Linked DNA regions of Lytechinus pictus. The protein of the gene in region 1 binds, or shares a complex with, the protein of each later gene. Links are inferred from orthologs where the notes say so. Each region holds a gene or a part of one and is shown in the gene's direction. Other genes may lie near its edges.

Region 1 (7,710 bases):
GAAGACAGGTACAGACAGAAATTCCTGCATTCAAAACAAAGGCAAAAAAGGATTATTTATTACAATAAGATAAATCATAGATTAAGCAAAAAAAGGACAGAAAAGAAAAGGAAAGATAAAAAAGAATCAAGAAAAAAGAGAAAAATAATAGAAGAGAAAAAAAAAGAAAAGGAAAAAAGAAGAAAAGAAAAGTAAAAAGAAAAAGGAGACAAAATACAGAAAAAAAGAAACAAAGAAAAGAAAAAAAAGACAAGATAAAAAGCAAAATAGCAGTAAAGAAAAAATAGAGGGGACAAAATGAAAAGAAAACAAAATAGTGAAAAAAAGAGAAAAAGAAAAGAATAGGAAAAGACGAAAGAAAAAAGAAAGTAATATAGAATAGAAAAACAATAATGAAGGAGAAAGAAGCTATTCATCCTTGCAAAGAAAAAAAAACTCAAAAAAGCAGTGGCAAAAGTCAAAACCGGGTAACAAAAAATAGTCATTGTTTTTACTTGATAGCCCAAAGTACCGGTACCGTACTAGAAGAAGAATCCGCCCACAGAGATACGATCTTACGTATAAGCTCCCGAAGGGAGCTAGAGAGGGAACTCTTTCCGCGCGTTTTTATTTCCCATAGGTTTTGTACATAGCCAACATGGCTGCCGGCGGACAATTTGAAGGATGATTTTGGAGGGTCAATGTTTTATTCATGAGAATGACGTCAAAATACGCATAATGCACTTGTATGATTGGATTAAACGCTAATGTTTTATTCATGTACTCATGCATTAAACATTTTTTTCCGTCCCACAATTCCCTACGATATCTGTGCGAAGTGTCGTTCTTTTGGACTCTGCAAATTTGAAGTTTCTGAAACGAAATAGCTAGACTAATTATCTGTTTATAGAATTGATGTTCGAAATCATGGTTTCTGAGTGAACTTCATTGGAGCGGAAAATCTTGGAGGGAACATCAATACTATTCTAATGACATTCCATAGGAATAAAAGTAAGTTACGCTCATTTTCATGTTTTGATCTCACTTGCAAATTGTAATGTGTTTGCCGGGGTTCGGGGCTCATCCTGTATTACGCACTATGTAAACCTCAATTTCAATATTTCTTTTGCCTGAGCTGACTTCCAAATAAGTGTGATCATTGAGTTTATCAAAAATACTACCGGTATATCTAGGACTAGGGGTCTATAGTTTGTCGTAGATCTAGACATTCATCGGAATGCTTCATGTAGGTCCAAAGTAAACCTTTATTTCAGTTTTATTGTGATTAGACAATTATCAGGGGTAGATGTGGACTTGTTTCCGACCTCCTGTTTTTTAGTAACGACAAACTGTCGATTTTAGGCCTATTCAAATTTAGGTCAATGTAGGGATATGGTCAGAGCGCGCGGGATCCGGCCTTTGATATCGCCGGTGCTAGCCGGCTAGCGAGATTGTCGATGTAGTCATGGGGTATGAAAATAGCGGGGACGGACTAGGCCCAAACTTCAAGCTTGAAAGTTGAAGTTTATATAGGCCTAGTCCGTCCCCTCTATTTCATCTTCATATGAAAAAGTATAATTCTCAGCAGTTTCTTTTATTCAGGAACGCTTTACTTCAGAATAATCAGTGTTGAAATACGATTGTCTTAGCATTAATGTCTGTTATGTTAAGTGTCACTTGTCTTAGTCTTAGATTTGAATGAAATGGCATAGCCTACCCTAGACCTAAATCAAGTCTATTTGAACAGGATACCCTGGGCCCGGCCTTGGGTGGTAATTTGAAAACGTTCTTAGTGTTTACTTCATTCAAATGTGATGTGATTCTTAAGTTATACAGGCCCAGCATAGACCAGATTCAGCTATATACAGCTGTAGAAATATGTGGTTGGAATCATTTTACTTTTATAAACAGAGTGAGGTAGGCCTATGTCTCTATGTGATAGAGAATGAAGTTTCGGGTCCAGATAAATTTTTTGTTCTAGTTTGGAATATTCATTCATAGACCTGGGATATGGGCAGCTGGAAATTTCAAAAATATTGTTTAAGAAGAGTAATTTTATTATCTCTAAAACTCTCAAATTTAAATTGTCAATTGCAGATCCAATGGGACCAAGTTCTTAGCAGTTCACACCTAGTCAGAAGTACAAAATTGGGAACCATGCCGATCAGCAAGTGTTAGTTACAATCTAATGAGGAACAGGATATCTGAATGGAAAAATTGCAAGGTATGCTTACTGTTTTGATAATATACAGGCTGTATCCAAGCTCATCACCCCCCCCCCCCAAAAAAAAAGATAAATAAATAAATAAATAAAAGAATATTTCCCCTTTTTTGGGAGGGGGTGGGCTATGGCCAATTGTGCTGAAACATGATGCGATATCATGTAATGTTAAAGTTCCATTGTAAGTTAATATTTGTTTGAATTCAGATTCACCAGTATTTCCATTTCTAACACTGCATACTAATTATCCATATCTCCTGTCTATACATGCATTTGCATAAAAAACCCAAGATATTATTACAGTTATCACAAAATTCTGATAAATATTTGAATTAATTTGCACTCTTTATTTTCAAAACATACTGTAGATAGTTATATTGATATATGAATTTATCTGGATGTGGGACGAAAGTGACTGCATGTGCTAAACTTGTTTTATCACTGAAGATATAAAATAGAGTTTACATCTTTTTTTTACTAAACTGGACTAGATGAGTAAAAATAATTTACAGCTTATTATGTTCTTTTCTCTTTTTTACCATGCAGGTTTCCCACTTCCTAAGCTGTTTAAGTACTGGTATCACAACATAAGTGCCAAGAAGAGATATGAAACGGTCTCAAAATTTTTGCTGGTGCCCCCCCGATGCCGTGACCCACGGTACGCCACTGCAAGTCTTCATAAATTATGTAGGGTTATTAAGTTGCATTTATCGTTATGTGAAATGGGCTACCACTGCAATAATATATAAATAGACTATATTTCAAAAATAGATTGAATTCTAACCACAGTGACAGTAGACAAATCAAATTTTGTTAATGATTCGCTAATGTATTGATTGGGGAAGGCACTCTTTAGGATTCTGGCATTGTGTCCCACCCCCCCCCCCCCTTATGAGGAGTGCTCTCACATCAGTAGACTATTTCTTGTCAGCAAATTTGAAAGGAATTTACCAATTTTTTTGAGTGACAAACTTTTGTGGAAGAAAATAAACGAATATCAAAGGTTTTTATGCTCTTTTATGGAATATTAACTATAGGCTCATCGAGATCCTTTGAATGAAATTTTAACAAACATTGTACAATGTAGAAAAATGTACTTAATCCTATTTTTGTACATTTATATACCCACCCCATACTACCCTTACCCAGTAACAGCCCTTTTTAGCTATGCATTGCCTTCATTTTTTAAAATACAATTTAATGCTTGGTAGATGCTAATTATTTTTTTTATGTTAATGTCAATGTTTTAGAAAATGCATTCCTTAATAAACATGTTAATTTTGAATTGAATTTTTTTATCTTGGTAATTTTCATTTATCAATTAATTGTGATGATGTATTGCTGCTGAGCTGTTATGCACAAATGGCACAAGATGTTGCACTGTACTGAAATGTGATGATGCCACTGTTACATGAGATCAAACAGCAGTCAATTAAAATATTATTCAAGAAAAATAAGGATAAGAGTGGGAAAGAAAGTAAAATGACAGGAGAATTATTTGCTTGTATGCATATAGTTATGTCAGTTTCTGAGAGAGAGACAAGACAGAAAGAGAGAGAGATGGGGGGGGGGGTGAAAGTTCAGTTTGTTTTGAAAGAAGCAATTATAAGACCTTACTGTTCATGACGGGCAACGGGGGGGGGGGGGGGCTATAATTATTTCTCCAAATTTTTGAAACATACATATAAAATGTATTTTTTCTTTCCATATGAAAATTACACCAGATACATTTTCAGTTGAAAATAAAAAAGAAATACCCTATAGCCTACGATTGGTTTGCTCTCTTGCCTATTTAATTTTGAGAACCCCCTCCCCCCTAAAATATGGTATATACCTAGGTCATGATTATTGATGTTTGACATAGAAGTCGCCATTTAAAATTAAGTGCTCCGAGGACTGCTATTCATAATAGGACTTATATTGGAGACTAAAATTATGGAAAAGAACTTGATTTGTTATTATCTTTGTTTATATTATGAAAAAAAGGTTCATTTCGTTTTCTGCAATAAAAAGAAAAAAGGGCTCCAGAAACATAAAGAGATGTCATCGCATATGGCAACATTTTCTTTGGGAACCTCCTCTGTAATATTTTTTAGCAAAGACCCTGGCCATTTGCAGCTAAAACAAAGCAACGATGCAGTAATAATCTAACAGGCAATAACAAAAAGATCATTAAAATAGATGAATAATAAAACTCTGAGGAGGAAAAAAACGAATGATCTGACATGATGTAATCACAGACACCAACGATATTAAATCAGGTCGCGCATTATGCTAATTAGTGACAAAATACTAATTTACATATTTTACGCTATGCGCGAAGGACGTTCCATGACCACGCCTTCATTTCGCTGGTGTACCAAGACAGTGGCGGTGTCCATAGGCTTGTATACGAAAAATGGGAGCAGTGTGCACTTTTGACCCTCCAAAATTTCCCCCAATTCTGACCGGATGCAGAAGCGGAGTTTCACCCCCCTGAATCCGCCTTTGCATGCTGCCATCTACGTTGCAAAATGCGTTGTGATGGACGCTTTACAAAAATGGATGAAAGAAGGCGCCAGTCTCGCTAGCTCAGTAGCTGTCTCAAGCTCGGCTGAGAAAACAAGAATACCTTTTTCGATTTGCTTGTAACTGGTAACAATCGGTAATTTCTCTTGACATGGTTTCAATTTCTCATGCCCTATTGTTTTGTTTGTGAAGACGCTAACGTTGTGCTTAGCGGCTGAAAATCTTAGTTAGGCTGCTCCACTTCGAAGCGAAAAGTGGCTGTGTGCGCTGGCGGCATTGACTGCACGCTACCCCGGAGCTTCCCGAGGTCAGCCGGCCAGCTTGCGTGTCTCTGCTCAGTCGGACGTCGGGAAGGCCAAACTCGTACTCCGTCTCCGAGTCCGACAAAGGCAAAGCTTGGCCGGCTAGGCTAGGGCTTAAAACGACAGGGAACGAGGACTGGCATTTGAAAGGATGCCCTTACTGTTTGAGCTCTAATAAGAAAGCAGGGCCGGGGCGGATCAGGTTTTCCCCAAAAAGGGGGAGGGCACATTTTTGAAAATTTGACAAGCAAAAAAAAAAAAAATTTCAGTTCACCTCAAATTTTAACAGTTAGGCCTCACGTACGTGCACGTTACACGCAGTCAATGGAAAGTATATGTGTCGCGCCATCTTGGTTAATTTCACCACTACGTTGCGAGAGGGCGCTCGTCAAATTTTACAAAAAAAATCGTAAGAGACAGGCTCGTAATTATAAGGTGACTTTAGGCCACAATAATTAATTTAGGGATGGTTCGGAAAATAAGTCGTGTCGATTTTCGAATTTAGGAATGTATAACGAATCAATACATATAAAATTCATCAATACTCATGATGTTTAATGTTTAACAAAGCCTTCTTCCCCGGCGTCGCACGTCCTCCCGAGTTACGGTGGTGCTCTTGCACATTTTGGGTATAGTTCAAATCATCAATAATATCTCGATTCTGCAACTTATTGTATCCTAATTTCATGATTTTTTGTATTATTTAGGTCATTTGCAACACTTTATTCATTCATCATTGACAATTACAAGTGTTAATTTCAAACTTTCCCGCTATTGAGTCTTGAATCTACCCTTGTCCACAGGCCCCTATAGTGTGTACTGTGTCATTATGTGTGTGTCTATGGAGCACCACATCCCAAATCTTACAAAATCGTGCTGATTCTGTGGCATTAAAATACCTCGTAAGACAAAGAGAGTTCCAGTTTTGAATTTTCCTGAAAATTTTACCAGAAAATTAAAGCTAAAAGAGCAATATTGTGATGAAAAGGATGTACACCCCCCCCTCCCCTTGCCCCACATGTGTAGCTGTGCCAATATACTCAATCACAAAGAAATGATATGATTGGTTTTATAGTTTTGCAGCAGGAAATAATAATAATGATAATAATAACAATTAAAATAAAATAATAATAGGAGTGGGCTATACATGGGTCAAAAATACTTTTTTTGTAATTTCAATATGACAACAGTTTTTTTTCATTCCTTGTAATGTATCTCAACATGAAATGACAATAATTTTTGTCTCGGGTCCGAGAAAAAAGTGTGCCGGGCCAAAATCCAAAATGGCCGCCAAAACCCCCCAAAATCACAGTTTTGGCCACAACTTTTTTACTTGGTGGTCAATTTCTCTCGTTTTGGTGTCTATTTATGTGTTTTTGGGGGCAGGCAATTTGTTTTTCATATAATTAGTACTTTTAAACCATTATTTGTAGAGTTAAAAGGTAATTATACCTAAATTTTCCCATTTTTGTAGCCTTTTTTCAGCCAAAAAGTAGGTTTTATCATCCTGGGGTTCTGGGATATTAGATGGTACGAGGTCAACAATAGCAAGCAGCTTCATATAGCTATATTGCTTTTATTCCTCCACTTTGGGTTTTATGGATATTTGTGAAATATATCTTATTAAATAAAAAAATGTCAATTATCCATTGGGGCTATACAGTATGTACAATGTACTGTACATACATACTGCACTGCATAAATGCATTGGCCACTATGACAGATAACAAGGCTTGTATAAACTATAGTGTCATAGAAATGAGCTCTCAGGTTTAGAATTAGATGCCTCAGAAATTGAAGATTTGTTTTGTCTCAGAAATTGAGGACATGTTTTGTCAAATATGCTAATTCAGGGGGCGGAGAGAGGTAATTTACACTGTAGCTATTCTGGGCCCCGTTGCATAAAATTTTACCATTATGTTAACTTAACTTAATGGTAACTTGCATGCAATCCTTTATTCTGATTGGCTGTTGATCAGCGTTACCGTGATACTAGTAGTTACCTGACCCCATAAACATAGTCCAGTTAGACACCAGAACCAGGTTAAAATAAAAGCCTCAAAATGAAGAAGATATGGATAAAAATGTGATGTACGTATATATACATTGTATGTGATATTTACATGTAAGTGTAATTTACGTTGCTAGCTGACAAGGAATCAAATTCACAATCTAATTCTAAACCTTTGAAGCTCATTTCTATGACACTATAGTTTATATACAGGCCTTGTCATATGCCATGGTGGTCAATGCATGGATATATACATTGTAGTATGTACAGTGCCGATTGTACACCGTATAGCCCCTATGGATAAATGAATTTTCTTTTATTTGATAAGATGTATTTCACAAATATCAGTAAAACCCAAAGTGGAGGAATAAAAGCAATATAGCTACATGAAGCTGCTTGCTATTGTTGACCTCGTACCATCCAATATCCCAGAACCCCAGGATGATAAAACCTACTTTTTGGCTGAAAAAAGGCTACAAAAATGGGAAAATTTAGGTAAAATTACCTTTTAACTCTACAAATAATGGTTTAAAAGTACTAATTATAGGAAAAACAAATTGCCTGCCCCCAAAAACATATGAATAGACACCAAAACCAGAGAAAATTACCACCAAATAAAAAAGTTGTGGCCAAAACTGTGATTTTGGGGGGCTTTGGCAGCCATTTTGGATTTTGGCCCGGCACACTTT
Region 2 (7,992 bases), on another chromosome or scaffold:
CCGCGCGCTCGCATTTTGATTGGTGAGTAATGTATATATACCTCAATAATTTCCTCTATAATAAGCAATTCTAAAACAAACTACTTAAAATCCCCTTTTCATGACATCGCAAATTGCGCTCTCATTAATTTGTTAAAGATAGTAACCCATGCATCCTATTCATAATTACAAAAGTGCTATATCCATTTTTCAGGAATTAATGTCAACAAATGTCGAGCTGTCATTAGGCTTATTAGATTAACATTAACATTTTCATGAATTCCTAATATTTAAATTGTCCTTTTTTTTCAGATGGAATATCTCTCGCTTAGGAAGAGGAATAGAAGAAAGTCATCATTTTCATATGATGACAAAATGTCCTTAGAATGTCCAGATCCTAGATCAAAATAAAAATAATTAAAATATCAGCTTGCGCTTCGCGTTCAAATCATTTATTAAGAGCGATCCATAATATCCACTTCACAACTTTCCTACATAGTGCTTGAATTGGTGCTTAAATTAACGCTTTTTCAAATAGGAATATCAAATATTTTCAGCTCGCGCTTCGCGATCACATTTTGATTTTCATGATAAAAAATATATTTAGAATGCCCAGACACTATATTCAATCACCAAAATTGGGCGTTTTACTCAGTACCAACTTTTTATGGAGCATGGAGGAAAAGAAAACATTTACCAACGAGCTGTTTATCCATCCATATTGTCATCTAATTTGCATAAATTATGTATAGATTATGCATGAATTATCATATATTATTCAAATTCGAACATAAAATGGTTCATTTTCCCAGTTTATACCTGATTCCCAATTAAAATTGTGGCACAACTAAAATTAACGTTCATTATGACATGAAGAGAAAAGCAAATACAGATAGAACAGTTTGTTGGGTAGAACTATACAACTTTTCATATTATGCTAATTACAATTAGTATAATTATAAAGTTCAAGTTGTATCAACTAAATTTATTCTCCTAGCATATTCATGGGGATTATAACTTACAAACGTTGGGCCCACATTAAAAGAAAATTTTAGAGTTTCCTAAACGCTGCGATGCCACAGTTAGCAAAACAACTTTTATATTTACGAAACCTCTTCTGCTCTTGGAAATATTAGAGAAAGACAGAAAAGGGCATTAATGTAGTTTTAATATTGATATATTTTTTGTTCTGGTTTCTGTGAATGCTTATTTTTTTAAGCCATGTTTTAGTCAAACGCGTTACTTACAAACGATGTAAGTTAAGGAACCTGCACTGCAAACATTCTTGTTTATGCTTAGTTCCTACTTTGTACTATTATTATTATTATTATTAATGTAACATTATATTCTGTCAATTTATTTCTTGTTATGCATGGAGAAAATAAAACATTGCTATGCATGTTACATGCAATGACGTTATGGGAATCAAAGCCTAACCCTATTTGGAGCCGCTAGAAGGTACTCCCCACCCCTTTTTCAATATCAGAGTGATATAATTTTTATTTGAAATTATCATTATCATTTCCACTGATCTTTTGAAAAAAAAAGACAGAAGATACATTGTTCTAAAGATTGCATTAAAAGACGTCCTTGTACATTGAAGCCTATATACCCTATACTATTTTACAGAGCTTGTCAAAGTAGCCCCATCACTTTCCTTTGACTCTATTAGTCTGTTTAAAATGTCCTTTTAATAACGCCCCTTTCTGTAAAAGGGGCGCTTTAGCGGAATATTAAATCAGCTTCTATTTTCATTAATTTCCTAAGATAAAGGACGCATAAAGATTAAATGAAGAGAAATCCTAAAAATTAAAGTCTATCCCCATCGAAACCTATAAAAAGTATGAACATGTTTTTTGGGAAAGGGTGACTATGCGTGCTGCAGCGTTTTGAAGATTTTGGAGTTTGGACAACTGGGTGTTGGGTAAATTCAAATTGTAAAGCAAGGCATTCTCGAAATCAAGTCGTGAAGACATCAGTGCATGAACTAATTTTTTATTGATCGCACTTAATAAAGAGCTGAGATTTTTCATTATTATTACTTTGAGTGTCATGAAAAGAGGATTTTAAGTAGTTTGTTGTATAATCAATATTGAGACATACATAACTCGCCAATCAAAATGCGAGCGTGCAGTGCTAGCTGATACGTTTTGACAATCAGACCTGAAAAGGGTATTTTTAAAACTTTATGGAATACACGAAAATCATAGGTACCTGATAAATCAAAATTTGCGCGCGCGCAGCGCGAGCAGAAATGTTAATATTCAGATAAAAAACCTGACATTTTTACAGAGCACTTTTTAAACATCAATATTCACACAAAATAATGAAAGTTCGATTTCCGAGGTAGAATATGTTTTGTAAATTGACTTCCAAACTTGATATTCAAACTCCATATTGAACAAAATATGAAAATCACCTAACAGGCAATGCGAAGCGCGAGCGAAAATTTTATATAGCTATAGTGACATGAAAGAGATCTTTTTATTTTCCAAGTCTTCCCCTCATCTTATTTTATTCCCTCGTCTTCCTCCTCTTCTTTTTTCTTATCTCTTTCCCCCCTTTTTTTTTCTTTCCCTTTTCCCCTTTTTTTACTCCGCCAATAGGGGGGGGGGGGGCCGGGCCCCTCGGCCCCCTGGATCCGCCTATGAGAATGATCAAAGTACCACAAAGTCCTGCAAGTTCTGCCACTCCGTTTTTGTTATACATTTTGTTGGAGGATGCCCAGCATTTAGCCAGCGGCGTAACAGGGGTTGGTGGCCAGGGGGGGGGGGGGGGGGGGGGGGGGCAAGAGCCAAAAATTTCCCGGTCATATCATGGTATGAACAGGCGGAATGGTGTAATAAGGCGGCGATTTTGAGAGGGCCAGATATTGCGTATCGGACAGAATTTATCTTTTAAAAAAAGTTGCGAGCGAGCAAAATTTGACATTTTTAATGCAAAATTTTTTTAATGCAAAAGATTTTGACATAAAATCTTCCATTCATTTGTTTTTGTGGTCTGTACGCCACTGTGAACAGGATTATTTGCAGCAGTAGCGAACGTGATAAAGTAAAAAAACGATGCATGGGCGCAGTATATGGCGCATGTGCTAAAAAGCTGCTTAATATAAGCCCCGAGCGAGCGAAGCGATAATCTAACTTGGAGATATTTTTTGACATTATATTCAGTAAATAAAATCATATCCTACAAGTTCAAGTTCAAGTTTAAGTTTATTCAAACCAATCAAAACAAGAGACATATTACACAGTTTAACAAAAATTAGAATATATGATAGGTTTGGGACCCCAAAGAAGCAGAGCTTGTGAGAGGGGCCCCTTGTAAAGTACATTACAACAGTAATGAGATGAAAAAAATATTTACAATGATAATGTAGAGTAAATAAGAAAAATACATACAAAACACACACACACACATGGTTTATCAAGAATCAATTTAAGATATTTTGTAATCTTTCAAATAAATATTTTCGACATGAATTTTCAAATATGGGCAGTGTTGGACTGGATCGAAAGTTTTGTGGTAACTTATTCCATTCTTTTGTACAAACTATCACAAAAGAATTCAAAGCAGTATTTGTTCTTGTAAGTGGTTGGTGGATAAGATTTTTCTGCCGTGTATTGTACAAATGTACATTTGAATTAACAACAAATGCATTTTTAAAAAATGAACAGCTTTGAGAGGATAGTGATTTGTACATAAATATCAAACAATTGAAGGAGACAAAATCACCAGGAGGCAAAATCTTCAATTGCAGAAATAGAGGAATACTTGGACATCTGTAATTCGAATATGTTATGAGCCTCATAACTTTCTTCTGAAGAACTAGCAGTTTGTTTAAATGGTTCCTATATGTCATACACTTTTCCTTTTCTCTTTTGCTTTTCTATCCTCCTTTTTTTTTTCTTGGTTGTAGAAGTTTTGGGGACCATGGCCCAATTAACCCTTCCATATTCATATACGGCAGTGCTATGCGGTTGGGGTCCAGGGCAGAGCCCCCGGAACTTCTTGATATCACAGCCATTTAAACTTCGCAGATTGCCGCTATTTTAGATCAAATCGCGGGTATATACAGAATATAGCTTTTACACAACACATTTATTCAACCCAGTTGAACCAAATATTTTGAGGGGGCAAAACATAGCAATGTGGGGAAATTGGTAAAAAGTCGCCAGCTAGCAAAGCGAGCTGGAAAAAAAATGCCCAATGAAATTAAATTCTGTGATAGATTTTCCATTATATTCAGCAAATAACAACTTTCATTGTTTCCATTCATTTCATTATAGTTGTCTCCTATAATTTCTTTTATTTCCTTTTGGGTGTGGAACCAAGACACCCCCCCGCGCCTGTACGCCAGTGATTGAAGCTTAGTAAAGTATAATGTATGAAGGGTCCCTACAGGGCCGGGGGGGGGGGGGCGTTATAGAGCCATTTGAAAGTTACAGATGAAGAACCCCTACTGCGTGGGGTCTCCGGGGGCAATTAAAGCCCCCGGTAGCTTATTTGCAAAAAAATAAGCAAGATAGCACAATTTTGTATGCAATTCACTCTTTCTTCCCGCTCTTTACTTTCAATCCTCGGCAGCCAGGTCGTGTTATTAATATTTTTCTTGTCCGGCCCTTTTCTTTGTTTTCCAATTTAGCTTTTGACTTATTCCATTCTACCTTCACTTCCCGCTATTGTTTGCCATTTTGTCATCTTTTAATTTATTTCCCATCATGCTATTGCATTACTTTTATATGCCTATTTCAGGGATGTTCTTCTTTCGTTCCTTTCCCGCTTTCCTAATTCCTTTTCCATTAAAAAAAAAATCGCTTCGTTTTCTTTTCACTTTTCCATTTCCCTTTCCTTTTCCTCCTTCCCCTTTCCCTTTGTTTCTCCCTCCCTCTTCCTTTTCCCCGTTTTTTTATTTTCCGGGTGAAATCTGCCAGGAGGGGGGGGGGGGCAGCTTGCCCCCCTGCCCCCCGCCTGTTACGCCACTGCATTTAGCACAGACAGGAAAACACTTCTAAACTTAAAAGAAGACAAGGAACTGCAATATTTTTCTGAGCATTTAATGATCAAGAACCTCAACAATTTACCATTTCCGTCCTGTTTCTACCTGACGTCGAATTAACAGATTCCTCCAAAAACGACCTAAACCGACTTGTTTTAAATTCTTTCATAAGATTCACCTCTCTCACGTCAAAATATGAAATATGAAATGCTAATGATGCAGTATTAAACTGCGGATCTCCGATACAGCGGAGGAAGGATACAGAAGAAGAAGAGGATACCTGCCGATATATATATCCGAACAGCGGATCGGAGGAACTGAACGAGAGCTAGAGCTAGAGGGGGAGATGAGAGAGAAGTGCGGCGCAACGGAGGAATTTCGAGAATCAACAGAGATTCAGATCGTGGTTGAATCAAGATCGAAGGCGATGGTATGTCATTATTTACGAATCAGTAGATGGCTAGTTTTTGAGTAGGAGATTAAGTTCTGCTAAAAAATCGAAATCATCCACAAAACCATGGCATGAGTTTACATTTTACGCTAAAAAACTTGAACGTTAAGGTTAGACTTGGCGCCGGCGATCGCGACGACGTAAACAAATTTCCTACGTTGTCCCACCTATATATTTCTGTGATGTGATGGTGAAGCTAGCCAGGAGGCTCCAACTTCCCACCCACGGCTACATCTCAGCCGGCAGCCGCCGACTACAGAATAATTGAAGGCATGGCGCATTCAACAAATAACGTTAATTTACGAAAAATTAATACGAGGACTTACAGAACACTCACACAACATGCGAGGTTAGTAATACTAACCTCGACCTCGCACAACGCATGTCATTTCATATTATCATAGGCCTAGGCCTAATGAATTTTGACGTTTTCATTCATCACACGAATGTGAGAATATGAAACATGCCTAAATCTTCAATATACTAAATTTAGTCATCTTAATCTTATAATGTAATCTAATTTGGCTTAACTGCAGAATACCCCGACACTGCTCACTACCCAATCGTTGGTCAGCCAACACAACGATGTCAAGACCTATAGCTATATACTAATTCAATGGTATATAGCCTAGATATACCCATACTATTATATACGTACATGCATTACTGGTACTACTACTACTACTATACTACGTACGTACGTACGTATGACGGTACGTACGAGCAATGCATCCAGGCCATACGTAATGACCTTTGCCCTTTGACTACTACTAGAGCTATAATTAAACATCGTTGGGTGCGCTGCTAGCCAACGACCCACGTTGTGACGGTACGGACGGTGCAATATAATATTCAAAACATCGTTGGCTAACCAACGACCCACGATGTGAAGGTGCAATAGTACAAGATTAATACACTCTTTTAAATTACCTACTACTACTAGCTATTGCTATACATCGTTGGGTGCGCCGCTAGCCAACGACCAACGATGTGACCGTGCAATGCAACATTCAAAACATCGTTGGCAAGCGTTTCAAGGTATGGTTTCACAAAACAGTTTAATATATGCATATCCTGGTTAGTGAGGTGATCGATGTCATTCACTCTCTATTTCTTTTGTATTTTTTATACATGAAATATTTTCATTTTTTCTTCATTAAAATATGAAATAAAGTTTTAATTCCCATTGAAGGAATTCAATGGGAATTGAATTCAATGGGAATTGAATTCAATTAGGGTTAGGGTTAGGGTTAGGGTTAGGGTTTAGGGTTAGGGTTAGGGTTAGGGTTAGGGTTAGGGTTAGGGTTAGGGTTAGGGTTAGGGTTAGGGTTAGGGTTTAGGGTTAGGGTTAGGGTTTAGGGTTAGGGTTAGGGTTAGGGTTAGGGTTTAGGGTTAGGGTTAGGGTTAGGGTTAGGGTTAGGGTTAGGGTTAGGGTTAGGGTTATATTCACATCGTTGGCATCGCCGGCAATGTTGGCCTCTACAACAGGCATATTCACATCGTTGGCATCGCCGGCAATGTTGGCCTATGTAAGATACATTCACATCGTTGGCACTGTTGGCATCTACTACAGGCACCAACACATCGTTGGCATCGCGGGCGCTGTTGGTATATACATACTAAACATACATTCACATCGTTGGCATCGCCGGCAAAGTTGGCCTATACTTACTAAAGATACATTCACATCGTTGGCATCGCCGGCAATGTTGGCCTCTACTACAGGCATATTCACATCGTTGGCATCGCCGGCAATGTTGGCCTATGTAAGATACATTCACATCGTTGGCACTGTTGGCATCTACTACAGGCACCAACACATCGTTGGCATCGCGGGCGCTGTTGGTATATACATACTAAACATACGTTCACATCGTTGGCATCGCCGGCAAAGTTGGCCTATACTTACTAAAGATACATTCACATCGTTGGCATCGATGGCAAGGTTGGCCTGTACTACAGACACCAACACATCGTTGGCATCCTGGCCGGCGCTGTTGGCCTATACGTACTAAAGATACATTTACATTGTTGGCATCGTTGGCACTGTTGGCATCTACTACAGGCACCAACACATCGTTGGCATCGCGGGCGCTGTTGGCCTATACATACAAAAGATACATTCACATCGTTGGCATCGCGGGCAAGGTTGGCCTATACTACAGACACCAACACATCGTTGGCATCCTGGCCGGCGCTGTTGGCCTATACGTACTAAAGATACATTTACATTGTTGGCATCGTTGGCACTGTTGGCATCTACTACAGGCACCAACACATCGTTGGCATCGCGGGCGCTGTTGGCCTATACCTACTAAGGATACATTCACATCGTTGGCATCGAGGGCAATGTTAGCCTGTACTCTACAGTACAGACACCAACACATCGTTGGCATCGCGGGCAATGTTGGTCTACATAGGAAACTACAGATATGATCGCATCGTTGGCATCGCGGGCACTGTTGGCATGTACTACAGACACCAACACATCGTTGCCATGGCGGGCAATGTTGGTTTACATAGGCAACTACAGATATGATCGCATCGTTGGCATCGAGGGCAATGT
Region 3 (7,700 bases), on another chromosome or scaffold:
AGGCTGTTACTCTTGCGAGAACAGGATCCCTTTTGGTGATTCTTCTGACTTCATCGGCTTCAACTGGTCTTGTGTCAATATCCAGCATGTTGATTTGAACTGGCGGCTGCTCATCCAGCTCTGCAAGACTCTGATGCGACCACACTGTTTGATCATCTGCCAAGGGTAGGCGTGAAAGGGCGTCTGCATTCTGGTGCTGTTTACCTTCCTTGTATATGATGTCATAGTCGTAGGCTGAGAGGATCATGTGCCACCTGGCTAACCGTGCAGAGGCCATGGGGCTTGCAGGTTTGGTGTCACCGAATATGCCTAACAGCGGCTTGTGGTCTGTGACGATTGTAAATCGTCTTCCGTACAGGTACTTGTGAAATTTCTTTAAACCGAAAATGACAGAGAGTCCTTCTTTTTCATATTGGGCGTAATTTGCTTCACTTCTAGTGAGCGTGCGTGATGCAAATGAAATGGGCTGCTCTAGACCGTCTGTTCCTACATGGCTGAGGACTACACCTAGACCATAGGGGCTTGCATCACATTGCAACAACAAAGGCTTACTGGGGTCATAGTGTGTCAACACTGTGTCACTCTGAACCAGTTCCTTTGACTTCTGGAAGGCTCTTTCTTGGTCTCCTCCCCACTTCAGGTTTGGATCTGCTTTGTTCCGGTCTCCCTGCTTCTTTGGCACTGAAGCATACTCTGCCTTCAACAGTGTTATTAGTGGGGCGATCTCTTTGGTCAAATTTGGTATAAACTTCCGATAGTAGCCCAGAAGTCCTAGGTATGCCTGTAGTTGACTCTGGTTCTGTGGTCTTGGAGTCTTCTTTATGGCTTCTATCTTGTCCGGGAGTGGGCTAACTCCATGTTGATCCAGCTTGTGGCCAAGGAACTCCACCGAGTCCATCATGAACTCACACTTTTCCCTTTTCAGTCGAAGTCCATTACTCTCTAGGCAATGCAGTACAGCTTGCAAGTTGGCAATGTGTTCTTCATCTGTCTTCCCGCTAACTATAATATCATCTAGATACGGGCGACACATTGGTATGTCAGCTAAGAGTGACTCCATTGCTCTTTGGAAGAGCGCAGGGGCTGTGGCTATACCAAAGGGTAACCTAGTGTACTGAAAAAGTCCTCTGTGTGTATTTACTGTGGTGTACTTCCTTGCTTGTTCATCAAGTTCTATCTGGTGGTATGCATGTGAAAGGTCAAGCTTGCTGAACTGTTGACCTCCACCTAAGTCCTGGAGCATATCCTGGAGCGACGGAATTGGGTACCGTTCCACCCTTAGAACTTTATTTGCTGTCAACTTATAGTTGCCACATATGCGGACTTTACCATTTGGTTTCTTCACCACTACGATAGGACATGCGTAATCAGCAAACTTCACCGGCTCAATCACGCCTTGGTCCTGTAGCTCATCGATGGCTTCGTCAATTTTCTGGCGCATTGCATATGGGACTGGTGCAGCTTTGTAGAACCTGGCTTTATCTCCATCATCTTGAGGATGCACCTTTGCCTGGTAGCCTTCAAGTTTACCAACTTTTGAACAGTCAAACACTTGCTTGTGCTTCACTAACATGTCTTGTAAGGTAGCTTGTATCTTATGCATGGTTTCTGGATTGTTGGAAACATGTGTTTGAAGGTTGAGGCGATTCTGTAGGAATCTGTAGATTCCTTCTGGTGCGGCTTGCATCCAGTCTCGGCCCAGTAACGCAACACCTTTCTCAACTACAAGAAGTGTCAACTTCTTTGGTGGTTGGCTGGCATCAAACTTGACTTCTACCATTGCCTCACCAATGATTGGTACTGATGACTCTGTGTATGTTTTCAAGGAAACATTTGCTTGCTTCACATCAGCTCGATGTCCCAGTTTATGAAAATCCTGCTGCGACATCATCGTCCAGGGGCTTCCTGTGTCTATTTCTAAGTTAACTTGGATCCCATTTAGGCTTAGGCTAGTCTGGAACGGTTCACTGTACTTTGCCATCTTGTTTACCATTCCACCCCTAAGGTGTCTGAGTTCTCCACTAGGCATGTTTTCTATCAGTTCTGCACCTTCCTCACCATTCAAGTGGTTTGCATATTTCTTTCTAGATCTGTATTGCTTGATCTTCTCACACTGGCTGCGGGTGTGACCCACTTGAGAACACTGATAGCATTTCTCATCCTTAAATCTACATGCTGACTGGCCATGATCACCTGAACCACATCTCCAACATCTTGAGGCAGGTTTTTCCTGTTTCTTTTGGCTTGGCTTTTGAGGCTTTTCCTGCATGTCCTGCTTCTGTCTTTGATGTGTATTTTTACGCGATGAGGACACAAATGGTTTATGCTGGCTTCTGTCCTGCATCTTCTGAACTGTAGGTGACTCGGTCCCTTTACTTAATACTTTGAGCTTTTCAACATCTCTGTCTGCTACCTCCATAGCTGTGGCGGTCTGAAGTGCATGTTGTAAGGTTAGGGACGACTCACTTAACAGCTTGCGTTGAATTGCGATATCCCGGCAACCCACTACTAAGCGGTCCCTAATCATGTTATCTAATTCTTTGAAATTACAGCCTTCGCTTAATTGGCGCAAATTTGCTACAAATTGCGGTATGGACTCATCTTGCTTTTGCACACAAGTGTAAAACCTATAGCGCTGAACAATTTCGGTAGGCTTTGGTACGAAGTGTGACGTAAGCGTAGTTTTGCATACTGTGTATGTTTGATCTATTGGTTTACTCGGCTGCAAGAGAGCTCTGAGAATGTGATAGCTCTTGCTACCAAGATTGGTCAGAAATATTGCCCTTCTTTTCCCATCTTCCTGTATATTGTTAGCATCAAACCATGCTTCTAGGAGTTCAAGCCATTCGTCAAAATTGTACCCATCACTCAGTTTGGGCACACTACCTATATGTTGGCTTGCCATAATTTTGATTCATATGTTGTACAAAATTCAGCTGTTAACTTGATTGTGACTACACAATAGGTAGCTGTAACACTAAGTATATCAAGACTTATTGATCATAAAATATGATTTTGATCTTGCAATTGCGCGTAAGCAAAGCTTATTTTCTTAGTACATAATGCCTATACAAAGCATTATTGTATACCTGAAACAAAGCTAGAACGACATATATAGTCCAACGATTGACAATACTATATCACTACACACAACTGGTATATGTGGGACTACTCCCATGTCGTGGGGCTGCAGTTATTCAATTGCATAGCAAATATAGGCACTGGGTCCTGGTCCTAATTGCTAAGTCTTAGACTATAATCGATCAACACTTTGGGCCTAAGTTATAGTCCTACAACTGATTAGACCTAGTCCTGTTTTTTTTTTAGACCTGGACCTTGTTTGGTCCTATAACTCAGAGACCCGGTCCTACTTTAGACCTGCTTATAAGATTATACCTGGTCCTGCTTTTTAGACCTGGAACTTCTTGTTGGTCCTAAATTTCATAGGCCTGATCCTACTTGCATAGTCTTAGACCAGTTGACTGGACCAATTTGCTATATGACTACGGCATAAACTCGGCTTAAGTTTATCGTTATTTACTGTATAAACATCAGATCTCAATTCAGTCTTGGGCTTGGTCCTGATGGTTCTAGACCTAGATCTATAATTGCTATTTTAATGACCTAAATCTAAATACTACCTAATTAATTGGACCAGTGACAGTGTAACAACTCACCAGGGCATGTACGGTACTTTGTTACATTAGACCAGATCTATGTTTCGACCAATTCTTTAGTCCAACACGTTGCAATTACAACCATATAATGTATTTTTGGACCTGGACTAATTTGTCTTAATCTTACCTTTAGTCTTTGATTAAGTCACGGTACATAATAAATAAATGCTGTGTTTATTATTATTCATAATAAGTCCATCAAAAAGTCTTTAAAGTCTTTGATGTTTTGTTTCTGTTTCATTCATTAATTATGCAGCTTGGCTTGAATTTGTATTGAGTCTTCTTGGCACGACAACTTTGTCCTGGCTTGCAGACTCAAAACTTGCTTGGCTGGACTTGACTAATGAATGCAACACCGTCTGGGCTGAACCTGGCAAAAGAGGTCTCGGCTGGGTCCTCGATCGGCTTGGTCCTTGGGCTCTGTTGCTTGCTGCTGGGCTGGGCTGCTTTGGAGACTTCGGGCTTGAAGTTGGCTCCAATTTGCTATGTCAATAGTCCAATGTCAACTACCAGTAACATCTAGGGCTAGGCAATAATTTACAACAATTGTCAATGTTATGCCTATGCTATGGGCTGTAGACACTACATAACTCGGTCTCAACATAGGCTGGCATGAGCGGTGTGAGGCTTCTGCAAAGCGTTCATTTCAACAAGCCACATTCATCCGTCATCCAAATTACGGCTAGGCTGCGATTGACCGATCACACTATGCTCTGCAGTGCAGTGTATCAATGACAATATCCGCGGCTAATTTCCAAAAGCTATCCGCAATGCATGTCACTTACTGGAAATCAAGTCCAATCTATACTCTCATTTTTATCCCTGCATCCTCGTCGCCAAATTGTTATGTTCTCGTGTTGTGGTTCTTAAAGGGATACATAATAATGAGATAATAGCACAGCGATGTAGAGTAGTGTCTGCCATTTAATGTTACGCCATCTTGCTCTCTGTCGCGCATGCGTACAAGGCTGCTCATGAAGATTGCGTCATTAGTCTTCAGTTCATACATCACAATAACATAACATAACATGAATTTATGGCAAGTAATAAGTGCATGGAAGAGCTGAAAATGTCTTAATTATAGCCGTGACATTGATCTGTTTCCAGAGAGAGCAGTGCACACGAAAAATTTATTTCCGTGGCAGTGCCACTGCACTTCCAGTATTGCTGCCATCTACGTTCATTAATCATGCATTTTTGTGAACTAAGCGGCGAAACTGTTAAAACTAGTCTTAGACAAAAGGAGAGGTCTAACGATTAACGAATTGCTTTCGTAAGTTAACATATTGATGTAAATGTGCTGTATTTGTATTTTCATTTGTAAGAAATTCTCGGAATATAAAGAAATTAACCTTATCGAAATCTTAGTCCGTATAATTCTTGTTGCTAGGTACGCCAAATCTAATTCAGTCCCACATATTATAATATGTGCTGTGTGAATATCTCGTCTAGTTTCCCCGCACTCCCGGGTTCATTACTAACCCGGCCCAGGAGCTCCCGGAGACCAGGAGTCGACCGTGCAAAACGAGGGAGACACTGGGGTAGATTGGGGTCTCAATAGTAATCTTGATAAAATGTGGAAACAGAAATTATGCACTTGCCACGATTATAATGGATGAAATGAAGGTCTATTGTGACACACAAATCCTGACATCGAGGCACAGATCGACTGGAACCTCAAAAAAACGAAAAGTTCTGTCGGAGTGTCGCGATACCTCTCCTTCTGTAAAAATTCAAAACAAAATGGCCGATAGAGACCGAGGCTATATTTTGTTTTTTTGAGGTTCCAGTCTATGTGTTGATGTCAGGATTTGTGTGTCACGATAGACCTTCTTCATCCATTATAATCGTGGTAAGTGCATAATTTCTGTTTCCACATTTTATTTTTATCAAGATAATTGAGACCCCAATCTACCCCAGTCCTGTGTCTCCCTCGTTTTGCACAGTCCACTCCTGAGCTTAAATTAAATTAATACCTCATTCAGCGTAAGGAAGTACTTACAGTTACATGTATGCCTGGTCAAGAATATAGATTCACTAGATCTACGGTTTGAAAACGAGTGAAATTATTACATGACTGTATTTGTGTGTTTTCTATCCAACTTTTGTTATTGTTTTGTACAAAGTTCTTAGATTCTCAATTCAAACACAATATTTTTTTAAACTTCCAAGTTAGTCAGATTAACTAATAACTTAAAGGACAAGTCCACCCCAAAGAAAAGTTGATTAGAATAAGAAGAGAAAAATCCAACAAGCACAACACTGAAAACTTCATAAAAATTTAGATGTAAAAGAAGAAAGTTATGACATTTTAAAGTTTCGCTTAATTTCACAAAATAGTTATATATGCACATCCCAGTAGGTATGCAAATGAGGGAACTGATGACATCACTCACTCACTATTTTGTATTTTATTATATGAAATATGAAATATTCTGATTTTTCTCGCCAATGTACTGTGAAACAAATTTCTATTTCGCCCTGAACTTGTGGAATTACCATTGTTTAACATTTTATGGTTCAGTCAAGTTGGTCCATAGGCCTATTGTCAAATCTGTAAAAATTGAAATATTGTATAACTCAAACAAAAACAAAAGAAATAGTGAGTGAGGGACATCATCGATTCTCTCATTTGCATGTGACTAAATTGTGCATATAATAACTATTTTGTGAAAATAAGCAAAACTTTAAAATGTCATAACTTTATTATTTTACATCCGATTTTGATGAAATTTTCAGCATTATGCTTGTCTGATTTTCCCAATTTATTCAAATCAACATTTTTCTGAAGTGTACTTGACCTTTAAGTCTTTCAGCAATAAATTCTGAAAAGATGTGAGTCTAATTACTAAGTAGAATTAAAAAATAAAATTGTCTCATTTGTAAAAGTGAAAAACAATTTTTTTTGTATATATAATTAATGTAATTAATTAAATAATTTAGAGTCTAAGGTCTAAGCCTTAAGAAATTTATTATTGTGTGACCATGTATCTTTGTGAGGTTGTGCTTGTGTGCATTATAAATTTATGTGAGATGAATCATCAATCAAATCATTTCTAAAAAAATCAACTTCTTTGTTTGGTTTGGCTGGCAACCAATCAGAAATGATTAATTTTGTCATTGCTGTTTAGCTTTAAAAAAAAAAATCATTAGCTTCTTTCATATTTTTTTTAGTTATATTCGTTTCTTTTTTTCTCCTTCATCTTTCTTAATTCTTGTCTCTTTTTATTATTATTTTACATTTACATATTTTTTCCTTATCTTTTTTTTCTTCTCCTTTTCTTTTTTTCTTTTGTTTCTTTAACTTTCTTTTCAATTTTTTTCTCTCCTGTTTTCTTTTTGTTTACTTTTATTTTGCTTTTTTAAAATGTTTATTTTCCTTTTTCTTTTCTCTTCTTTTTTGTTTTTAGACTTTTATTTTCTGCAGGATATAGAAATTGGTAGATCCAAATATATGTATAGAACTTTAATTTCTGTTGTAATATTTCCACCAATTATATTTCTTTATATCCAGGTTTAATTTCTGCTTTTATTGACAAGTTTGTTCACTTTAAATGCTCTTTTTGTCAGGTAGAGAGATGGCAGAAGTTCATGTTATAGGGCAGATCCTTGGAGCAAGTGGGTTCTCAAATCAAAATCTTTATTGCAAATGGAAAATACACACTGGTAAGCATGCAAGTAGTTAATCTGAAGTTTGTTTATGTCCTACATGTAGGCCTATGCTATGGCTTGCTTGAATTTGTTTGTTTCATTGGTTGCTCTTGGCTACCTAGAGGTCTCTTTGATGCATGCTTTGTGCCTCTTGTGTGTTTTTGTTTTACCTTAACCTAATTGAGAAACTTGCCAATCTGTGGAGATGTTTCTCTTACAATTGCTGATTTTTTTTCCTTTGAATTATTATAAACTGTTATTGTTATGTTATCACCATCTGTTCATTAATATGTAAGGAGGGTTGGTTGGTAGGACAAAAATAGGGAAAAGTGTGTTTCAGATCACTCCATAATCAAAACTCAAAAGCACAAG
Region 4 (8,000 bases), on another chromosome or scaffold:
AAGTATACAAATGTGTGAAGTTATACATGTACTACAGCTTTGGCAACTCTTTTATATTTAAATATTGTGTGAAAGAAATGGATGAAGAGAACAATGGTAGGCGTAGCTTAAATCAAGGTTCCCCAGAGCTATCTACCCTTTTTGGAAAAATTGGTGATGCCGAAAAAATGTCTCTGCCGGGAATCGAACCCGGGCCCCCAGCTTTGAACGCCGGTGCCTTAACCACTAGACCACAGAGACGGGTTAGTGGCTAGGGCGACCCCGATCCACTAACCCGTCTCTGTGGTCTAGTGGTTAAGGCACCGGCGTTCAAAGCTGGGGGCCCGGGTTCGATTCCCGGCAGAGACATTTTTTCGGCATCACCAATTTTTCCAAAAAGGGTAGATAGCTCTGGGGAACCTTGATTTAAGCTACGCCTACCATTGTTCTCTTCATCCATTTCTTTCACACTATATATATATATATCAGGGTTGGCGCGTTTTAAACGGTGTGTTTTAAAACATGTTTTAAAACGCGTTTTAAAACACCAGTTTTTTTTACAAAAAAAAACCTGTTTTAAAACACCGCATAGACTTGTGTGTTATAAATTTGCATGGATGTGTTTTTAGATGAATGTTTTTTTTTTTATACTGTTATTTCTTAAGTGGTGTATTATTTTCTTCTAACTAAATAAAACTCTTTTTCAATGCCACTCCTTTTCTCTTCTTTCTCTTTCTCCCTTTATTCTTTCTTTCTCCATTGCTTTGTTATGTTCCTCTTCTCCCTGTTCAATTGTGCACATCAATCCATATTAAGAATATTCTCATTTTAACAAACATATCTGAGTGTTGTGCTCACTTTTTGGACAGGGAAGGAAACATGAGCTCAAATACATGTACATGTAATAAAAGTACTTGAATGAAATGGAAGTGTTGCACAAGCACAATAATATTTTACAAATAGACTGTAAACCTGACATCATACTCTTGAGGTACACACAAAAGCAGGTATAAAACTTTGTGCTTCATAAAGATGAAGAAAAGTACTTTCTTTAAACAGTATAAGATAATCAGCTAGCAAACCTTAACCCTAACAATTCAAGGGGACCTTTATAATGTCCCCCTAAAAATGTATATGATAAATCCATAAACATGACAGGGCCACGGCATATCGTTCAAGACTATTTTGGGGATGCATGCTTGGGTATGCAGTTATGATATACACCACAAGTGCATAATCAGATCCCGAATTGCTCAAAAATGTGATTTCATGTATAAACCCAATGTGAGTTCTTGCCAAAATTGTGAGTTCTTGCCAAAATTTGTATCTGTATCATTATTTTTACTTTATTGTTAATGATTGGAAAATTATTGCCAAAAATTTCTATAAGTAATAAAAAAAAGGTTTAAAAATCTGTACATAAGAAATATAAAAAAGTTTTAGAAAACATTACCGGTAACCTAAATAGACTGGGCTATTTCGTTTCCTAAGAAGACTGAGGGTGCCCCCCCCCCACCCTTATGATCTGAGCCGTCGATCACGGGATCACAACAAAAATTGGCACGGCGTTACCCATGGCATAATCTAAAAAACTATAAATCAAATTTTGCATAAGTCTCATTGCTAATTTATGCGTAAAATCAAGTTTGCTCTATAAATAATGCCCCTGAAATGCTCATTTTTGGTTCATTCTTTGTAGGAATCTGATCAAATGTTCTTTAAAAAATTTCAAAATCACATTTATTTTTTATGTATTTTATTGTTTTTTCAATGGAAATAGTCAGGGACTATATTTTGACCATAAACAAGGTGAAATTAATTGATTTTAGTCAGTAAAGGAAAAATAATGAGACATTTATGAATTTTGGTTAAAAACACTATTTGCATTGGATTTGTACACGAATTCACGTTTTTGAGCAATTTTGGGTCTGCATGCACTTACAGAATGTTGCATAATTTCGGAACCGCATAGGTCGCAATTTTGGTCTCAAAAGTTGCGTGAGACTTGAAAAAGAAAAGTCTGAGTGACGAAGGGGGCTGAATCAGACTGGAGGGGTGCTGAATCAGCCCCCCTCCAATCTTATTAGGGCTAAAAAAAACATTCTATACTGATTTTTTTTTAATATACATTTGATCAGCATTCCTGAATTAAAAAAAAAAAAGTAGTTCAAGGTTTTTATTTATAGATTTGAACTGAATTTGAATTTCATGCACTAAAATTGGTATAATTGATTCAAATGAAATAAAGCATATTGATTTACCGGTAATGAAATTAAGCTTTGAAACCCCATGTATATCAATTTCTTCCATTGTGCAAATTCTTCTTGCCCCCCCCCCCCCCCCATTGACAAGACTCAATATACCTTGGAACTACATGTATATGTACATGTATTAGGAATGAAATGTCAATTTACTTATAAAGTGTTTTTTGTTGTTGTAGGCATTCAATTTCCATGATTTAGTGATTTGGGGGGAAATATGAACTTTTCTGTTGGAAATTCATTAACAAAATTGTGGTCATCTCTTATTTAAAACATACTGTAATAGTGTATAGTTTAATTGATTTACAGAAAATTGCATCATTCGTTGGAAATAAAATGTTTTAAAACAATAAAAAACGTTTTATTTGTTTTTTTTGATAAAAAATGTTTTTTATTACAACCCTGATATATATATATATATATAGGTCTCCTCATCATGGTTATAAAAAGTGCTCAGAATGTTTTATTTTCAAGTCCTTGTATCAGAATTTTCAGCTCGGGCAGCTCTATCGCATTTTGATTACTATCCTGTTGATTTATTTACTTGAACAAAATATTTAAAATGTCCAGCTTTTAGAACAGATATCAAAAAAAGGTATTCACCTTTGATCATAGATGAGGAAGAAGAAAAAAGTGCAAAAAAATAGGAAACAAACTAACGAATTAATGTGACATAATTTTTCTTCATTTCAAGGCGACTCTTTACATTTCATCATCGCTGATGGCGCTACAATAGAAAATACCGCTTGACAGCAAAAAAAAAACAGAAAGAGGAAAATAATGCCGAGCGTCTAAAATGCAGCTAGCAGTACAAGCTGCAGAACCGTAAACAAACATCTTGTGAATAATATCGCGCGCCCTCTTTAAGCAAAAGTTTACAACCACGATGACCCTGCGGTATCTACGTGAAGATCACGAGAAAATGCTTTTTTTTTCTTAAAAACACACCAAAGAGAAGTCAAGAAACGATCCATATGGTTCGGTAAGTGTCATAGCACAATTAGAAACATTATTTTAAAAGGAATGGCATAGTTATTTTAGTAAAAAGGGTGTGAAAAATTCGCGTGCACCATGTGCATATGAATCCTTCGCACGCGAGATGCATTGATCCCATGAGTGGGACCCGCATAGCTTTAGGGCCCCCTACCATAAAGACAACTCCGAGTCCGAACTAGAAAAAAAAGACTAACTTAGATCTAACTTAGAATTCTAGATCTAACTTAAACTAACGTTAGAGGCTGTTCATAATCATAAGAGGGTAAAGCCAATGCTTCTTCTTTGTTTGGTTTGGCTGGCTGGCAACCAGTCAAGAATGACTATTTTTGCCACTGCTTTTTTGACTTATTTGAGCTTTTTTGTTGAAAGAACTTCAGATTCTTTTCCTTTTCCTTTTTTTGATGGTTTCTTAAGTAACTTTAACTTACTTAGATCTACTGTCATCTTCTTTTCATTGTTTATTCTACTGGACCTATTTATTTTTGTTTTGTCTGTTTTTAAGCTTTCTTTCTTTTTTCCTTTTTTTTTTCTTTTCCTTTTTTTTGGCTTTTCCTTTTTTTTTTCTTTTTTGATGATCATTGCCTCTATACTTTTGGAGAATTTTGAAGGGGGATCCTATCGTCAATTTCCTTTATCATGCTTGTCAAGCAGAATGTTGCAGAGGTTTAAAGAAAAGACTTCCTTATGACCCCTCCACTAATTTAAAAAGACAGTCCCTGATGTGCGCCCGCTTAAGGGTTTTTCCCATCCTGTACCTATTTTGCACAAACTAGTTTAATCCATACATATCATATAAAAAGGACTGATGGTACTTATTTTTTTTATCGTGAAAATTGGCCGATAGCAATCGCGGTGGTCAAGATTGACCACCACTTCTGACTGCGATAGCATTCTTCTGTGTGCGGCCACCCTGTCTCCGGTGCGCGGTCCGATGTACGATTCCTATGGCGCTCCCGCAAGCTCCGTGAGGCACCGTGAGGCAGCTGCAATTCACCTTTAAACTGCGAGCGAACGCTGCTGAGTGTGCAGTTCCATTGCAAACGCATGTGAAAATAGCGAGCGTACACGCAACGGCCTCTCTTGGGGCGCTATATTTTGAGGTGTTGTTGTCGTATTTTTCATGTTTTTTACTATTTTTCGATCTCAGCATTGACTTCTGGAAAAAAATGGCGGCCGACATCGGCTCGCGAAAGTGCTAGTCTTTACCGTGGACATGTTTTCAAAATCCACGATCATCGGGAAAACCGTGAAAAATCCACTTTTTTAGACCCTTTGTTTCTTAATTACGATGTTAAGAAATACCGATGGTGATATTTTTGATGCGAGATATGGTGATTTAGGGAAGAAAATTTCACTTTTTATTCAAGATTTTGAATGTGAATGTGTACTGTACATGTTTAGAGTGTGTTGGTGATTTCAGTTGAATCTCCACTACCGTATGTCGCCTTACTCACTGAGCTAGTATGAATTGTTGAAAGCCATGGGTTATCAACCGATATTACGACTAGTCTTCTCTCCAAGAGTATTGGGTATTTATTTTTCTGACTAAATAGACTAAACCAATGCCATTTTGAATTACACACACTCGAAATTTTGACAGAATAAAGCCATATTTTGGTATGTATCCAACTTTTCCTTCTTAAATCTCTTAGATACATGTTAGATAATTCCTGATAAACCTTTTTAGTGGAGGGGACATATGGAAGTCTTGCCGGTTTAAATGCTACATTTGTAATTTGCTTTGTTCACAGGAAAGGTCAAGAAAAAGGGACGCAAACTGCCACATGATGGCAACAGCCAAGATGAGGACAGAGCGCTGTGTAAGTATCAGACTTGCACTTCAAATCAAGCAGGGACCATTGTCATTGTCATCCTGGATATCGCAATATACAGGACAATGAGTACAGTACATAACTCATTTGAGACACTTAGACCCCTCATTTGAGACACTGTACTTGTAGAGAAGAAGAGAAGATGACTCCTTTCTCACTATCATCATCTTCCTTATCTTCCTCCTCCCCTCCTCATCATTACAATCATCATGATCATAATTATGATCATCACCATAATCATAATCATCACCATAATTGTAATCATCACCATCATCATGTTCATAAGAATTGTCTTCACCATCATCATCATCATCATCATCATCAACACCATAATCATAATCTTCATAATCATCATCACCATAATCATCACCATAATCATAATCATCACTATAATCATCATCACCATGATTTGATTATAATCATTATAGTTATCATAATCATTATCCTCATCTTCTTCACAATCATTGTAATAATTGTAACCAATCACCATTTTTGTTTAAATGTTCTGCCAAGTGCAAACAGTACAATTTCCAATTAGGAGGTGTTAAAAACTTAAAGGGGAATGAAACCTTTGGAACAAGTAGGCTTGTGTCGAAACAGAAAAATCAAAGAATAAGAACAACAAAAGTTTGAGAAAAATCAGACAAATAATGAGAAAGTTATGAGCATTTGAATATTGCAATCACTAATGCTATGGAGATCCTCGATTGGCAATGCGACAAGGATGTGTGATGTCACATGTGAACAACTTTCCCTTTGATGGACTATAAAATACCCCAAAATGTCTCTTTTTGCTTTTTCTTATGATGATAGAAACTCTTTATCCATGAAGTATTCTTTAAAAAATCTGTATTACATGCCCTCCTATAGAAAGAACATATGATCCACTGATAGATGTGATAAAAGAGGCAGTTTAAGTGAAATATATACTAAAGTAATGGGGAGAGTTGTTCACAAGTGACATCACACATCTTTGTTGGATCTCCATAGCATTAGTGATCGCAATATTCAAATGCTCATAACTTTCTCATTATTTGTCTGATTTTTCTCAAACTTTTGTTGATCCGTTTCTTTGATTTTTCTGTTTTAACACAAGCTATCTTGTTCCAAAGGTTTCATTCTCCTTTAAGGATGATTAAATCTAGGATTCAGCGAGATGTATAATGTACATGTGTTGTTATTTATGTTCTTGATGTTCCCACATTTCTTCTTTGTCGCCATACTGTATAATTATTAGGGTCTTATATCTACCTAGTTGTTATGCCTGTTCCACATGGCTCTTATGATTGGACAGACTAAAAAAGTAATTAGATAGCAGTTGATTCAAAATGTTCAATCAATTTTTGATTGATTGCTCAAGCCGACATACATGTATAATGATACAGAACAGCAGTTTCATTTGCAGTAGGTTCTGTTCAGGTTCTAAAAATGTAGCAATATGTTATGATACCTGGACTAATTTTTCACGTTTGTTTGTTTAAGCTCCTCACTCAGAACATCATGAAATTCATAACCAGACACGGGCTAAATTTGATGAGCTTCTGAAGTCAGCAATGGACCAGGATGCTAGGTATTTCTATTTTATTATCAAAATAAAATACAGATGATAATGTGGCTATTTCTCAGTGTTTCTTTTGAAGCTAAACCTCTCTTATTATAAAAATTGAAATAATATTTATTACACTCTGCAGGTTAACAGAATATATTATTGAATTGCGCATTATAATTTTTACTGTGATATATTGATTACATTATTGTTATCAATGAAAATGATAATATCATTTTTATTATCATTATTATGATTGTCATTATCATTGCTATTATTTTATTACGGTACTCTATTTAGTTGAGCTGCCAATGATATAAATTGATACTGCAATTTTCTAATTGAAAACAATTTTGAATATTGAAAGTTAAGAAACATTCTTGTATGTTTTTTTGCTCATATCAAACAGATAGCTCTGTCAAGTTCTTAATCCTTATTGTCTTACTTTATGTCTAGAATACATTAGTATGTATGGTATTTATGCCATTGACAGAACTCTGGCTTATATACATTTCTGAGTTCAAAATTTCAACTTCTCAAAAGTAGTTTGTGTTAAATTCAATTCTTATTTAGTTATAGTTACATTAGACAATCAAATAGTGTTGAGATTATAAGTACATCATAAATAAACTTTTTATGAGAATATTATCCTATTTTTTAATTTCCTTAGTGGTTCTGGAAAAACTTCAAAGAAGAAGAAGAAGGCTAGATCACAAACAGCAGATGCTATGGTAAGTTCATATTTGAAATATTTGTATTGTTACCTTTGGCAGGATTAACATTGCACTTGGTAATTTTTTTTTATATGCATTCATGTCATGATATATAATACATAACAAAAAATTAACTTTTTATATTCAATTAAAAAAAAAATATCACACTTCATTTGTTGAAAATCAGAAATACAAATATTACAAATTTTACATCCACAACTGATTTTCAATAAGCTTCAGATTATACATTTTAGAAAGTTGTTTTTCTGATAGATTTTAGAGTACCAGTAACTGATATGGAGGATCATGTTGTAGTGGTTCTGACTCTTGTTTTAACATCAGAGAAGTGTGTGTTCGAATTTCACTGCGGCTTTATACTGATCTTTGGCAAGGCATCAATCCACACTCTCTTCCCAGGTGCTAAGTGGTTACCTAGTAAGAGGGGATATCCAATGTAGAATACCTAGCAATTGAGTTTAAAACTCTTGTTAGAATGCTAATTAGTGAGTGGAAAAAGTACATACATGTACATCATGTTAGGGTTAGTCAGTATCAAATGACAGGGATGATAATAATATATCATTATTATCAATAAAGTTTGTAGATACACTATTCTGATAAAAGTGTTATTATTATTAGTGTTGTTGTTATTATCATTATTATTTAGATTTAG

What was found.
Region 2: centrosomal protein of 290 kDa-like (region 1) and coiled-coil and C2 domain-containing protein 2A-like share a complex: the UniProt entries of both Homo sapiens proteins name them as parts of the tectonic-like complex. The link is inferred for Lytechinus pictus from reciprocal best matches to the Homo sapiens genes CEP290 and CC2D2A.
Region 3: centrosomal protein of 290 kDa-like (region 1) and B9 domain-containing protein 2-like share a complex: the UniProt entries of both Homo sapiens proteins name them as parts of the tectonic-like complex. The link is inferred for Lytechinus pictus from reciprocal best matches to the Homo sapiens genes CEP290 and B9D2.
Region 4: centrosomal protein of 290 kDa-like (region 1) and jouberin-like share a complex: the UniProt entries of both Homo sapiens proteins name them as parts of the tectonic-like complex. The link is inferred for Lytechinus pictus from reciprocal best matches to the Homo sapiens genes CEP290 and AHI1.

What each region holds. Positions count from the first base shown.
Region 1 is NC_087263.1:11,081,169-11,088,878, reverse strand, and holds the start of centrosomal protein of 290 kDa-like, read left to right. Parts: upstream 1-4,696; 5' UTR 4,697-4,844; intron 4,845-7,710. UniProt on the Homo sapiens protein: Involved in early and late steps in cilia formation. Its association with CCP110 is required for inhibition of primary cilia formation by CCP110.
Region 2 is NC_087261.1:31,142,018-31,150,009, forward strand, and holds the start of coiled-coil and C2 domain-containing protein 2A-like, read left to right. Parts: upstream 1-4,983; 5' UTR 4,984-5,405; intron 5,406-7,992. UniProt on the Homo sapiens protein: Component of the tectonic-like complex, a complex localized at the transition zone of primary cilia and acting as a barrier that prevents diffusion of transmembrane proteins between the cilia and plasma membranes.
Region 3 is NC_087251.1:29,709,274-29,716,973, reverse strand, and holds the start of B9 domain-containing protein 2-like, read left to right. Parts: upstream 1-4,680; 5' UTR 4,681-4,950; intron 4,951-7,247; 5' UTR 7,248-7,255; coding exon 7,256-7,343; intron 7,344-7,700. Other genes in the region: uncharacterized protein K02A2.6-like, read right to left, coding at 1-2,905. UniProt on the Homo sapiens protein: Component of the tectonic-like complex, a complex localized at the transition zone of primary cilia and acting as a barrier that prevents diffusion of transmembrane proteins between the cilia and plasma membranes.
Region 4 is NW_026974140.1:16,630,504-16,638,503, forward strand, and holds the start of jouberin-like, read left to right. Parts: upstream 1-4,989; 5' UTR 4,990-5,056; intron 5,057-6,550; 5' UTR 6,551-6,621; coding exon 6,622-6,638; intron 6,639-7,284; coding exon 7,285-7,345; intron 7,346-8,000. UniProt on the Homo sapiens protein: Involved in vesicle trafficking and required for ciliogenesis, formation of primary non-motile cilium, and recruitment of RAB8A to the basal body of primary cilium.